Astyanax mexicanus: one gene and its partner. The protein of the gene in region 2 purifies or fractionates together with the protein of the main gene of each other region. This does not show direct contact. Links are inferred from orthologs where the notes say so. Each region holds a gene or a part of one and is shown on either strand. Other genes may lie near its edges.

The links.
Region 1: the proteins of plrg1 (region 2) and xab2 purify together in Homo sapiens (affinity purification with mass spectrometry; 3 studies listed by BioGRID and IntAct, counting the BioPlex papers as one, with this or other methods). This does not show direct contact. The link is inferred for Astyanax mexicanus from reciprocal best matches to the Homo sapiens genes PLRG1 and XAB2.

What each region holds. Positions count from the first base shown.
Region 1 is NC_064410.1:4,830,353-4,837,924, reverse strand, and holds the start of xab2 (pre-mRNA-splicing factor SYF1), read left to right. Parts: upstream 1-4,561; 5' UTR 4,562-4,701; coding exon 4,702-4,737; intron 4,738-5,602; coding exon 5,603-5,751; intron 5,752-5,868; coding exon 5,869-5,992; intron 5,993-7,082; coding exon 7,083-7,280; intron 7,281-7,572. Other genes in the region: uncharacterized protein LOC103046674, read left to right, coding at 996-1,270, 2,637-2,678, 2,789-3,181. UniProt on the Homo sapiens protein: Involved in pre-mRNA splicing as component of the spliceosome. Involved in transcription-coupled repair (TCR), transcription and pre-mRNA splicing.
Region 2 is NC_064432.1:13,738,401-13,745,410, reverse strand, and holds the start of plrg1 (pleiotropic regulator 1), read left to right. Parts: upstream 1-3,993; 5' UTR 3,994-4,148; coding exon 4,149-4,157; intron 4,158-5,755; coding exon 5,756-5,862; intron 5,863-6,815; coding exon 6,816-6,949; intron 6,950-7,010. Other genes in the region: mnd1 (meiotic nuclear division protein 1 homolog), read right to left, coding at 1,091-1,148, 1,370-1,435, 3,017-3,019. UniProt on the Homo sapiens protein: Involved in pre-mRNA splicing as component of the spliceosome. Component of the PRP19-CDC5L complex that forms an integral part of the spliceosome and is required for activating pre-mRNA splicing.

The DNA.
Region 1 (7,572 bases), on a different chromosome or scaffold from region 2:
GATCTCCATTCTGCTTCTAGAGGTAATCACGACATAAAGGTATATCTGGAGATATTTCTCAAGAGCTTTATTGGAGACAGGGTTTGTACGGTCACGAAAAAACTGGAAAAGTCATGGAATTTGAAAATAGCAATTTCCAGGCCTGGATAAGTTTTGGAAAAATAAAAATACCTAGAAAATTTTAGAAAAGTCTAGAAATTGGTCTACAAATCTTTGTGTTTCCGTTTATCGATGGAGAAAATCTATTTTAAGCTAACAAGAACGTCAGCTTAGAATTAATTCAGTAATTTAGCCCTATACTATAGAGCTCTCAGGATCTGAAACCCATTTTATTATTAAAGTTTGTGTGTCAGATTCATTTTAGGCCTACTATAATCCATTTAAATTATACTTTTAGTTGATTTTTGGTTTTATTGTCCATGTCTGCACTGATTTTTTAAAAATCGTATGGTCATGAGAATTTGCCTTTAAGGCATGGAAAAGTCAGGAAAAAAAAGAATGGAAATTTATTGGTTAAAATGTGTATAAACCATGTGGATAGGTTTATCTAGAATGTGTATAATGTATATGTGTGTATATGTGTGTATATATATGTACATGTATATGTGTGTATAATGTATATATGTGTATAAACCATGTGGATAGTTTATATTGCGTTTATTTAAAAATCGTATGGTCATGAAAATTTGCCTTTAAGGCATGGAAAAGTCATGAAAAAAAAAATTTAAATTTATTGGTTAAAATGTGTATAAACCATGTGGATGGGTTTATCTAGAGTCACCTTCTTGAACTGTGTGAAGAGTCTGGAGAATATGAAAGTGCTTTTAGGAGTGATGAATCACTGGGTATCACTTTTTCTCATCCCATAGTGACAAATCCAGAATCTACCTGTTAAACTTGGTGGAGGTGGAATAATAGGTCATGGCTCTTTTTCATGGATAATGAAGAGATAATGAAACTTGTTGTCATTATCTCCTTTCCTGATATTTTTACAGCACTAAACACAGAACAGTTCTTCACCCTTGTGGCCAACTCTCAGAGCAAACGAATGGATGACCAGAGAACTACAATGCCAGAAGTCAGAACGGAGAAACCATTCGTTCCACAGATCATCCTGACCCCGGAGTCGCCTGCACCCAGGAGAGCTTCCTCCAGACCCACGTCCCTCACACAGGATCCAGACCTGCTCACCAAGCCTCCACCAAGATCTGCCACTTTCAGCCCCGTCTCAGAGAAAGAGAGGACTCAGTATGATAATGTTTCCACCAAGGTGAGTAACATTATCTATACTACCTGGTAGTATAGTGGGGGCCTACAACCCCCCACTCTTAAACATTGCTTAGCATCATATCATACAATCTGCATACCTTTTTGCACATTGTAGTACAAAGTTTTGTTCTAAATTAATTCATCTACTGGATTTGTTTCCAAAATTAGTATTTTTTTGTTATCATAAGGATGTCTGTGTGTACTGGGAGTACAGCATAGAAGGCATTACCACCCACAGCGGACAGGGCAGTGGGTGTTAATGATAGACTGTCTAAAATTACAGCACCAGGTACAGTACTGTGGAGAAAATATGTATTTAATACCCTACAAATTTTGCAAGTTTTCTCACCTACAAACAAATTGAGAGGTCTGTAATTTTTATTGTAGGTACACTTTAACTATTAGAGACAGAATAAAAAATAAAAGAATAAAAAAATCACAATGTATGATTTTTAAATAAATAATCAACATTTTATTACATGAAATACGTTTATGATCACCTTCCAACCAGCAAGATAATAAAGCATGGGGGTGGAAACATTTTACTTTGCTGGTGCTTTCCAGCAAATGGGAAGGGACTGTAACATTTTGAAGGAAGGATGGATGGGGTCATGTATCACAAGATTTTAGCCAAAAACTTCTTTCCCTCAGTAAAAGCACTGACGATGGGTTGAGTCTGGGTCTTCCAGCATGACAATGACCCAAAACACATAGATACAAAAATTAAAGTGGATTTTAAGAAGGAAGAAGCATTTCAAGTTCCAAGAGTGGCCTAGCCAGTCTTCACACCTGAAACCAATAGAAAATCTTGTGATGGAGCCGAAACAGAGTGTTGCCAAGCAACAGACCTGAAATCTGAAAGATCTGGAGAAGATCTGTATGGAGGAAGAGTGGGCCAAAATCCCTGCTGCAGTGTGTGCAGACTCGGTCAAGAACTACAGCAAATGTCAGATTTTTTATTGCAAACAAAGGTTTCTGTATCAAATAATAAGTTATGTTTTTTATTGTATCAAATACTTATTTCATACAATTTAAGTGTACCTGAGATAAAAATTACAGATCTCTTCATTCTTTGTAGTTGGGAAAACTGTCTGAATTGCAAAATCGGCAGTGTATCAAATACTTATTTTCCCCACTTTATGTCTGTTTTGAGCCCTTAATAATAAAATAATAAAATTCCATTAGCTACTATTGGAACATGCAGAGCATGGCCAGGGAACAAGATACTAGTTCCTGTCCAAGACATTTGGCCTGTCAGTGTTGTACACTTGTTAAATATAAAGCAAACAAGCTATTTAGTGGCTTTTTGCTATAGCTTTGAGGTTAAAGATCAGTTTAATCACCATAATCTCCCTTCTTTATTGCAGCTTACCTTCAAAGTGTCCGTATGCCTCACTGCTCCCAAACAGGTGAGTGGACTGTAGGAATTGTGGACCAGTATTTATATCCGTTTTTTATGTGCATACCTGTCGATTCCAACACACATTTCTCTTTGCACTTTTCCCTGTCTTTCTCTCAGCAGAGTAACTCAGACGGTCAGCAGAGTTCTTCCCCAGACGTGTTCCTGACGATTGGAACACCAGCAGGGAAAAATTTTCTCCTTCCACTCACTCCTATGGTTTGCGGACCCCCATCTCTTGAGACGACACCCCGGCCCAGGAGACACCGCTCCAGGTCTTCCTCACCCTACCGAGCTCATGGACGAACGTCCCACCCCAGACCCTCCTCTCCTAGGCCTGCACCTCATCCTCCACCCATTGGAACTGATGAAGATTACTTCTCCCTCATTCACAGAGTCCACACAGCTCAGCTTCAGCAGGGAAACGCCGCAGAGAAGAGCCGGGAGCCAGGGAAGGGAAGAGAACGAGGGGATGGGAGGAGAGAGAGAAAGGATAGAGTGAAAAGAAAATAAGCATTATGAATGTACACTGAGCTCAGCTGCCAATTTATCAGAAACACATACTTTACTAAATTAAACCAAGGTTTAAAACTGTGTGAAATAAATGATTATGAAGGATTATCTCACTGTGTGATGATTGCATTTATTTGAGAGTTACATAAAAAATCTATGTGTCTGTGAACATTACACAGAAGCTCAATGGGATTTAGGTCAGGACTTTGACTGGGCCATTCTAACACATAAATATATTCCTTGATCTTAACCATTCCACTGTAGTTCTGGCTGTATGTTTAGGGTCTTGGTGAAAGATCAATCTTCACAGTTTTAAGTCTTTTGCAGCTTCCAACAGGTTTTTTCCAGGATTGCCCTGTATCTACCTTCTGCAACTAGAATTTAAATTGCAGGTCGACTTTGATATCAGTTCTCTTTTACCCTCGTGTGGTCATGCACACACAAACACACACACACACAGTTAAAGGTACGTTTCTTCTTTTCAAGCTATTTTCTCTATTAAAACTACCCTTAAAAATACCCTAAGATATACTACAATAAATCTACCTTGAGATATTACAATACAGCAAATCTACCCTGAGATACTATAATACAGCAAATCTACCCTGAGATATTATAATACAGTACGTCTACCCTGAGATATTATAATACAGCAAATCTACCCTGAGATATTATAATACAGCAAATCTACCCTGAGATACTATAATACAGCAAATCTACCCTGAGATACTATAATACAGCAAATCTACCCTGAGATACTATAATACAGCAAATCTACCCTGAGATATTACAATACAGTACGTCTACCCTGAGATATTATAATACAGCAAATCTACCCTGAGATATTATAATACAGTAAATCTACCCTGAATTATTATAATACAGTAAAACTACCCTGAAATATTAAAACACAGTAAAAAAAACTACAAACTAAAACAAAAATAGTATGCCAGATGTAAACCACACTTCACCATTATTACTGTCCCCTTCCCAAAAATACAGCTAATTACCAGAATTAAAAAAAAGGGAATCATGGTTTTATCCATGATTTAGTCACAAAATAGTGTTGTGATTAATACAATTATTTTTAAGGGATTGGCACCAATTATAAAAATCTGTTTATTTATTTTATTCACATTTAAATACCAATTATTCATATATTATTTATATATATATTTATATATATATATATAAATAAAGCTAAATAAGGAAAGATAAAGTGTGATTAATTGTGAGTTTTGTGTTCTACGCTGCTAATAAAAAATAAATTAATTTAAAAAAAGAAAGTGGTGAAGTTGGTTTTGCTGTTGCAGTTCCACCTTTAACCGGTGGGGGCAGTGTAATCCGCCAGCGCGGGCTCCAGTTCACCCGGCCCCAGCAGCGGGTGAAAGGTCGAGGGGGCGGAGCTAGTTAGCATTGCGTCCACAACACGTTCAGAGTAGCGGAGAAGCTAAAACGATTAAACAGTTTTATTTTACATTTATAGGTTTATAATTCAGTTCTTCTACCGGGAGAGGAACATGCCTACTTTTAACGGAAAACCGGACGTTACGTTTGTATGTATTTCTGTGTTTTTTATGGATAGAATATCACGGCTAGGCTACCAAGTATGGTATCTGTGGGAAGCTAACAGCTAATAATGGCTAACTTTCGTTACTATTTTAAAATCAGTTATTAAGATTTATTTAGGCAGAATTAGATAAATATGAAACATACACTGTAGTAGATAAATAGGACTGGCTGATACTTTTGCTGTGAGGACTGTTGTTTCTTTTTAGAACGTATTTTTGACACTTTTGTGGCTAACCCTAGCTAGTTAGCTATATTTACAAAACAGAGAAATCCGGTCTGAGATCAGTGTAATAAATTAGAAATGCATTTTGAATATTAGAGTTAACACTGGCTTTATAACCAGCTTGCTAGCTATATAAGCTGTTCTATAATGTCCCTATTCTTCATTTTGAGTTGGTATAATAGGATGAATTGTACTTTTTTTGTAATTAAAATTATTTGTAATTAAAATACATTCAAAGACATTCATAATACATAACTAAGGTGGACTATGAAGCTCTACAACGTAACTTATATTACATATGATTACTGCTACTGTTTCATTGGCTGGTTTATCATCTATTCTGATGAACAACAACAGGTCTCAATTAGTTTTCTGTCCATCAAAACATTAGAAAAAAGAAACTACATATGTTCTACACATGTTCATATTTATGTAATTGACGTATATTGTAATTGATGTAATTTAATTCAAGTATAATTGAATTTAATATACTTAAATTATGCATTACCTTGCTGTATCCAAGTCTTTAAAATGGTTCAATTCAAATGTATAAGTCTGAAGTTCTGAATTCTGCATTCTGCCCTGGTGTTTGTAAAGTTAACTAACTCCATAAATGAATCTCTCAGGAAGAAGATGACTTGCCCTATGAAGAGGAAATCATCAGGAATCCATATTCAGTCAAGTGTTGGATGCGCTACATTGAACACAAGCAAAGTGGCTCCAAGTCAGTGCTTAATATGATCTACGAGCGAGCGCTGAAGGAGCTACCTGGCAGGTAAATGCAGCTACTCCATTTAAAACCATTCATTGTATTTTGATGGGAAAAAAGTTAATGGTTGTTGTTTTATGTATGTAAAAAACAATGTATGTATTTGTTTTTCTTCAACTACAGTTACAAACTGTGGTACAACTATTTGAGGGAGCGGAGGAAGCAGGTCAAGGGAAAATGCGTAACAGATCCCGCTTATGAGGAAATCAACAACTGCCATGAGAGAGCACTGGTGTTTATGCACAAGGTAAAATTACTAGTATCCTATTCTGGAGTTACAACAAATTACTTTTCATGTGATTTCACAGTTGCTTGTTTTAATGTTTTACTGGGAAGGACAATATTTTTTGTCTTCTTTTTCCACAATGCTTTTCTGGTCTATCACCAGCTCACATCATGTGATTTATATGTATACAAACGAATGCACTTTTAGTTGATTAGCTCAGTTGCCAGCTCTGTAGGTTTTAAAATGTTTTTTTTTTTTAATAATTCGATGTAAAATGAATGTGTAAAATGAAAATGATTAGATGAAAAATGTTAGCCTACTAATATGTATTTTTTATCAATCATCAAATAAGAGAGTGATTTAGTTAAATGAATGTATTTGTTGTAGCTGTTATAATGTATTTAATTTGTATATTTATTACAATTTAAAAGTAAGCATGTTAATGATAATGTTAATGATATCCCCCACAATTTTGGGCATTTTCTTGCTTTTTCTCACCAGATTCATTGTTTGTGCAGGAGGCAGAAATACACAGCATTCCTTAACATCAGACATTAATACCACCATAAATTAGTGTCTTCTAGGGGTGTCACGATTTCGATATTTTATCAAAATCGATCGAAATTATGACATGGTCTTGAGCCTCGAAGTAAAAAAGAGGATCGACGATCCCTCCCACAAATGCCGCAGCACGCTCAGCAAATGGCGCAGCGCACTGTAGCCCAGGGTTTTTCAACAGAGAGAGAGCGACTGCTTGAGCGCAGCCCCACCCTCCGACAAAAAGTTCCGTTGTGTGTGAGAGAGACACACACACACACACACACACACACACACACGAGCCTCTCACACGCAGAACAGCTGCCTTTCAACCGCAGAGGAGAAGCTGAAAACGGATTTATAGAACTAAAGAAATAAAGAAAATCGTAAAAAGTAAAAAAAAAAAAAAAAAAGAAAATCAAGAATCAAATCGTGACCCTAAAATCGGAAATAAAATCGAATCGAGGATTTAGAGAATCGTGACACCCCTAGTGTCTTCTGTCCTGTGATTTCTAAAAGTTTTGAACTAATAATAGATTTTGCACTTCATGCTTCTTCTTCTTTTTTTTTCCAGATGCCGAGGATATGGCTGGATTACTGTCAGTTCATTGTGTCTCAGTGCAAAATCACAAGGAGCCGTCGTACCTTCGACCGAGCGCTCAGAGCCCTACCCATCACTCAGCATTCCCGAATCTGGCCTCTGTACCTCAAGTTTGCACGAAACTTACCTCTGCCTGAGACCGCCATTCGCGTTTATCGTAGATACCTCAAGGTAAGAAGGTGTAATTGTAGAGCAGTGACTCCAACTTGTTATTGAACCCTACTGAATATACAGAGCATAATACTGTACAATTGCCGTATTTCTTGCACTATAAGGCGCACTTCAAATCTTTTAGTTTTCCCAAAAATCTTCAGTGTGGCTTATGTATGAATTTTACCAGTCAGGTATTAAGGAGCAGTAAATCCATTTTGCTGATGGATTGTACAGTGTTGTAAAGGTGTTTCAGTTTAGTTCCTTAGCAGAGCAACTGGAACAGAATTAGCATTAGCTGCTATCTCTCTTC
Region 2 (7,010 bases):
CAACCTGACGAGTAAAATCCATACAAAAGGCGCACCGTATTATAAGACGCACTGTCAATTTTTGTGAAAATTAAAAGTTTTTAAGTGCGCCTTATAGTCCGAAAAATACGGTAATCAGACTACGAAGGAACACATAAGGAATCATGTAGTAACTTAAAAATAAAGTTAAATAAACCAAAATGTGAAGTATTTAGATGCTCTTATCTGGGGAGCTGTTTGTTAACTTGTGGTTTATGATGCTGGTAACTCTGATTAATTTATCCTCTATAACAGAGGAAACTCCTGATGAGTGCCAGTTTCATCAGTATAATGTTTTTGATGGTTTTTGTGGCGACTGCGCCTGAGTATACTTTCAAAGTTAATAAAATTCTTCTTTTCGGATTGACTGACCTTCATTTTTTCTTAAAGTATCTTTTTCTTTATTTAGTTGAGTAGTTGTTGCTTCTCATAATATGTATTAGAGTACTACCTCATAAAACTGACTGAGAAAATGCAGCAGAGTGCAAAACTGGTAATCTAAACAACAGGAGGAGCTACTTTAAAAATAAATACTAAATAATTCCATATGTTTTTTTATAGTTTGGATGAGTTTAGTATTAAAGCAGCACTAAGTAGGATTTTCTTGATTTTTTATCTTTTTAAAGAAGTAAAATTACAGTGTGAAACTCACTGCAGCGCTGCATTGAGGTGTAATAGGAGGAATAACGGTGCTCTCGTGTCTGTGCCGAAGCGCCTCTGAGCTCAAACCAGACTGTAAATTTTCTGAGGCGACCGCGAACAACGCTCGCAAGAACTGCGACCTGCTTTCCGACCTTTAGTTCTAACAGTTCTACAAGGACTACTGGTTCATTCTTTACAAACTAACATACAGACACTCTGGCAGAAGCTGGAAAGAGACCCAATATGTCTGTAAAAGCCAGAAAACAAGAAAGAGAAACTAATCCGCCTGAAACATTTATTACACTCTGCAACTGTAGGGGGAGCCCACGATCACAAAATCTCAATCCTACCTAGTGGAGCTTTAATCTACAATGCAGAACATTTTAAATAATGTAAAAAACATTTAATTATCATAAATGACACTACTTACTGATTCCTTTGGATTTGGGAGCAATTTTTTCAATGTCCTTCAGTTGAAAAACATCCTTCTGAAAAAATAATAATACAGTTTTAATCAGACAGTCACTGCAGTGGAAACCAGTTGGGGGCTTCTGTCTGCCTCCCAGAGCTGTAGAATTACAGTATGAGTCCTAACTAAAGCTGGAATTAAAAATCTCCAATAATTTAGTTATTTTTTAAAGAGAATACATCAGAAACACTGTAAATTTAACTGACAGTTTACTTAAAAAAACTAAATTAATTTACTTACTGTTTCAAAAAATATCTCCATCATACGAGACCTCTTCTCTTCCAAACTGAGTCCTTTCTTCTTCGACTGTTTCAGAGAGTAAAATTTTAGTAAAAACTGACATTATTAGGCAGATGACAACGCAATCTTAAAATCAACAAACACTAATAATTTTTATTATTTACATTGTGGCCAAAATAAAATTTCAAAAAGACTTAAAAATAAAAATCACCCAGAAGCTTCAGCCAGTATTTTCTTCCAGTAATGATTTCTTTTATGATATATTGTTTTAGGCTTTTATATGGTTTTAGGCAATTACGTGAATATTTTCTCCTTATTGATGTGTAAACTGCTCTTTTATTATTTTAAGATACTAAGTTATTACTTTGAGATACTATCTCACTATTTTGAGATGCTTCCCATTTTTAAGGGACTAATAATAATGAAATTTATAACGAAATAGCCTTTCAAAATAATGACTTTGTATGTCAAAAAAACAACTTACTTATTTCAAGATACTGTGTAATTTTGACATGCTATCTTGATATTTTGAGATACTAAGTCTTTATTTTGAGATATTAAATCTTTATTTTAAGATAGTAAATCTTTATTTTAAGATAGTAAATCTTTATTTTGAGATACTAAGTAATTATTCAGCGATACTAAATCTTTATTTTGAGATACTAAGTCTTTATTTTGAGATACTAAGTCTTTATTTTGAGATACTAAGTCTTTATTTTGAGGTACAAATTCTTTATTTTGAGGTACCAAGTCTTTATTTTGAGATACTAAGTCTTTATTTTGAGATACCAAGTCTTTATTTTCAGATACTAAGTCTTTATTTTGAGATACCAAGTCTTTATTTTGAGATACTAAGTCTTTATTTTGAGATACCAAGTCTTTATTTTGAGGTACCAAGTCTTTATTTTGAGGTACAAATTCTTTATTTTGAGATACTAAGCCTTTATTTTGAAATAAAGAAAGAAATAAAAACAGTATTATTGTGATTATTGTTTTACTGTTTGCTGTACTCTACTATCTCTGATATAAAATGATTAAGTTATTTAATTAATTTTAATGAAAAATGAAGACCGTGTTCCCGCCCGGTTTCGAACCGAGGACCTTTCGCGTGTTAGGCGAACGTGATAACCACTACACTACGGGAACTGATTACCACGTACAGACACTCCAGCCTTTAAACCGGTGGAGTAAAATAACATTTTATACGATTTATATATTTTAAATCACGTTATAAACACAGTAAAACACATAAAAACAAACTCACCTTTCACTGATTTTATCTGTTTAAACTAAAAGACTAAGACAAAACACCACAACCTGCAGTAACTAATAAACTAACGTTACACCAACAGCGGCTGTATTTAAGAGAACTCTGACTACAAATCCAGCAGATTAATAAAGTTTTTAAACTTTAATATAGATCGTTATTTATACTAAAGCGATGTGAGGCCTATGGTTTTCTCTTAGACTGTTAATTAACGCTGTTGATTTAGCTAAAGCTAAAAACAAACCCAAACAAACCACGCACCTAAAACTACCTAAAACTGTGTTTAATATCACACAATCCGCTCATTTTCACCTCCAGTAAAATGTTTTATTACTGTAAATCTATTAAAGTAGATATTAAACACAGTATTAAAGTCCTACCATTTTTAAATCACTCCTCTGACTGAAGCTCCTCTGATTCAGTTCTCAACCTGCTCCACATTTCCCGCCAACTGCCTTCATTCCTATACCGGAATCGGTTCTTTTCTTAGAATCATTCGAACCGAATCAGGTTCACAGGACACCATAGACTGTATATGCAGGACACAAACATTTCAGCCGGATTTTTGAATCGGTTCTTTTCAAAGAATCATTCGAACCAATTCAGTTTCACTTATGAACCTGAATTTATTATCTGCATGTACATGACACAAAAAAAATCTTCTGGATTTTTGAGTCAGGTTCAGGATTGAACCAGGGTGTATTATATACATATACAGGACACAAAAGATTGAACAGAATTGGTTATTTTTAAGTTTTATTATATACAGCTCTGGGAAAAATGAAGACACCACTTTAGTTTATGAATCAGTTTCTCTAAGTTAGCTATTTATAGGTTTATGTTTGAGTAAAATGAACATTGTTGTTTTATTCTATAAACTACGGACAACACGTCTCCCAAATTCCAAATAAAAATATTGTAATTTAGAGCATTTATTTGCAGAAAATGAGAAATGCCTGAAATAACAAAAAAGATGCGGAGCTTCAAATAATTTTAAATAATGCAAAGAAAACAAGTTCGTATTCATACATTTTAAGAATGCAGAAATCAATATTTGGTAGAATAACCCTGTTTTTAATCACAGTTTTCATGCATCTTGGCATCATGTTCTCTTCCACCAGTCTTACACACTGCTTTTGGATAACTTTGTCATCTTGTTGCACAATCCAACCAGTTCAGCTTGGTTTAATGGCTTGTGATCATCCATCTTCCTCTTGATTATTTTCCACAGGTTTTCAATTTGGTAAAATAAAAAAAATAATAATTTTTGAGTGGTCTCTTATTTTTATACAGAGCTGGAGGTTACAGTAGGGGGCAGCACTGAGTTTATACCGCCTCTCTCTCCGCGCTGCAGGCCGGAGTTTCCGCCGCCGTGTTTCCGGTGTGTGTGTGAGAGTGTGTGTGAGTGTTTAGCGCGGTGTGTTTAGTTTTATACAGGGAGTTTAAATCGAATTCTGATCCGGATTCAGCTTTAATTCAGAACTACTGACCCAGAGCAGCAAAAGCAGCAGCATGGCGGAGGTAAGGCGGTATTATTATTATTCACGGGACAGACCATAATACTCTCCTCTCTATTCACTACACCCAGTTCTACTCTCACCTCTTTAATAAAACACTTATTATTATATATAATTATTATAATACAGACCACAATACTCTCCTCTCTATTCACTACACCCTGCTTTACTCTCACCTCTTTAATAAAACACTGATTATTATACCGGTTATACAGTAATCTGTTACATAATCACACTTAAATAACCAACAGATCCCGTTATTAGTGTATTAATATTCACATTAATAACTCAACTAACTAACGTTCCTGTTTTTTAAGCTTAACACCAGCATTACATTCGCTTTATAACTAGAGAACACTAACTTACTCTAATTACCTTTATTCTCTGTTCACTGAGATATGTGTCTGATGTTGGCCCTTTAAACAGGTTCAGTATAGTTTTGTTCATTTTCTGAGGAGATCTATCTATTTAAAAAGAGACACAGCCACTGGGGGTTAATGTAGAGTAAATAAAGGATTAATCTGGTGTGAAATGGACTTGGGTTGTAGTGAAACATGATAATGATTATAAACTTTTGTAGAATACCCCACCTCTGTTCTTCCTTAGCATTCCCAAATACAGCACTTGCTGATGCTCCCAACAGGCTTACAAAATGCTAGAGATTAGGGCTGCAACTACTGACTACTTTAGTAGTCGAGTAATCTGCTGATTATTTGTTTGATTAGTTGATTAGTCACGATTATTTCTTGTCCTGCCCTCCATCTGTACTTCCTTCTAGTGAGAACAGCTAAACATTTAGTCCCCAAGACCAGCTTTGTCACTTATGTATTTTTTTTATTATTATTATTTTTTTTTTACTATTTTTCAAAGATATACCTCCCCAAAAAGATTTTGTCTCAGAAAATAAAGGTTTCTTTTTTATTAAAGTCTGTAGTTACTCTAATATATGACTTAATTTTAATGTAGTGTACAGAGGACATTATCTGTCTCTAACACTTATCCATGTTAATGAAGGAGTGAATCCTGTTTAAACTCTCCTCAGCAGTTCTCTGCAGTAATTTAACATTAACCACGGGTAATATAAAGCTCAGTGTTTAAACTGTACACAACCAGTAAAGACAGACTGTAGAGTTTTTTGTGGAGTTAAATGTGTTTAATGTTGTGTTTAATGGAGACAGAGCTGCTATTACACTGTATACTTGTCTCTCTCCTGCTCTCTCTCATGCTTTGCAAGTCCCACCCATACTGAAACCGCATTGGATAAATAAGCATGAGGAGAGGCCAATCAGAATACTCAGGATTTGTCACTCTTACTCAACAATGAGACTCTGCAACAACTACATTCTAGATAAATATGTTAAAGGGTTTAAAATGGCTCTCATTCTACTTTATTACAAGTAACTTAATTTATGGACTTATCTGATTGGATATTTTTGTATGTGTGGATTACTTGGATTGTTTCCAAAATCTGCTTGAAATTTCATGTCAGTCGCCCATCATCAAAACATTGATTCATTCAGTATTTTTTCTTGAGTTATATACTCTGCCTGTTATATAGCATCTGCCTTATTTGAATCAGTTTTGTGTCTGTTGTGTCTGCAGGAGGTGCAGAAGCACTCGGTCCACACTCTGCTCTTTAGATCTCTGAAGAGAACCCATGACATGTTCGTGTCTGATCACGCTAAACCAGTGTCCCTGGACGAGGAGAGGTGAGTCTCTGGCTTTAAAAACCTGAAAGATGAGCGTGGTCATTGGATCTATGGAATAAGGTCATGTGAAGGTCTGATGAGTCCAGATTTGCACTGTTCTGGAGTGATGGAGCATCAGGGTTAGAAGAACTAGAAGAAATCCAGAGTCTGATATTTACTCTCTCTAGCAAACTGAAGCATTTTTAGATGAAAAATGATTTTTTTTTTTTTATGGCTGTGTGAACGTGCCAAATCAGCCTTTTTTTAAATTAGATTTGAGTCACTTTCATAACGGTCAAATCTGAATTTATGCGTCTTTTTGCTTTTACGCATTAGTATTAGCATTAGCCCTACATGCTTCTCTCTCGTACCCACACTGCATCTCTTGGTGCAGCTGTGCAGCTATAGCTGCAAAATCAGCAAAAGCAAACCTCCTGGCCTTTTTTCTCCTCCTGGACCTGAGCATGAACTTCAGACCAGCTGTTTCTCTCCACTCTCCAGTTAAAGATGCTCCACATATGATCTGCTAACTCATCCATTTCCCTTTATAAAGCTACTAGTTTCTTGTCTCTCTAATATGAGGGTTTTTTTGTTGTTGGTGAAGAAGGAGGCATTTATACAGGTATCAGTGTGCAGCATGTGAGGCGTTTCTGGTACAGATTTGTTCACATTACACACAGATACAGATCACTTACATTTACAGTGAATGTGAACCATCAGGATAAACAAATCTGATCTGAGCAAAAAAAAATCTGATTTAAGCAACATGGCTTATAATGTGAACGTAGCCTAGGATGTTTTCCCTGCTTGATGCACGCCAATAATTTGACACGATCGCGGTCTATGTCTTTCCAAGTATATGTCTTTTAGAATAGCTGTATTTGCACATTAATGAGTTTACAAATGTTTATATAGAATTTTTTTCAGTGTATTTTCAATGTATTAATTATGGACCTGTGAACTTGTTTCCTCAGTCACAAGATAAAGATGGCTGCTAAGCTAAGAGCTGAGTATGGACCAGTGTTACACATGCCCGTGCTGAAAGAAGTCCGGGGAAAACCTCTTAACTCCTCTGATCCATTGGACAACCTGGGATACCCAGCAATCGGTGAGTGAGTTTTTTTTAGAGACACAGGAATGCACAAACATAAGATGAAAATTAAGTGTGC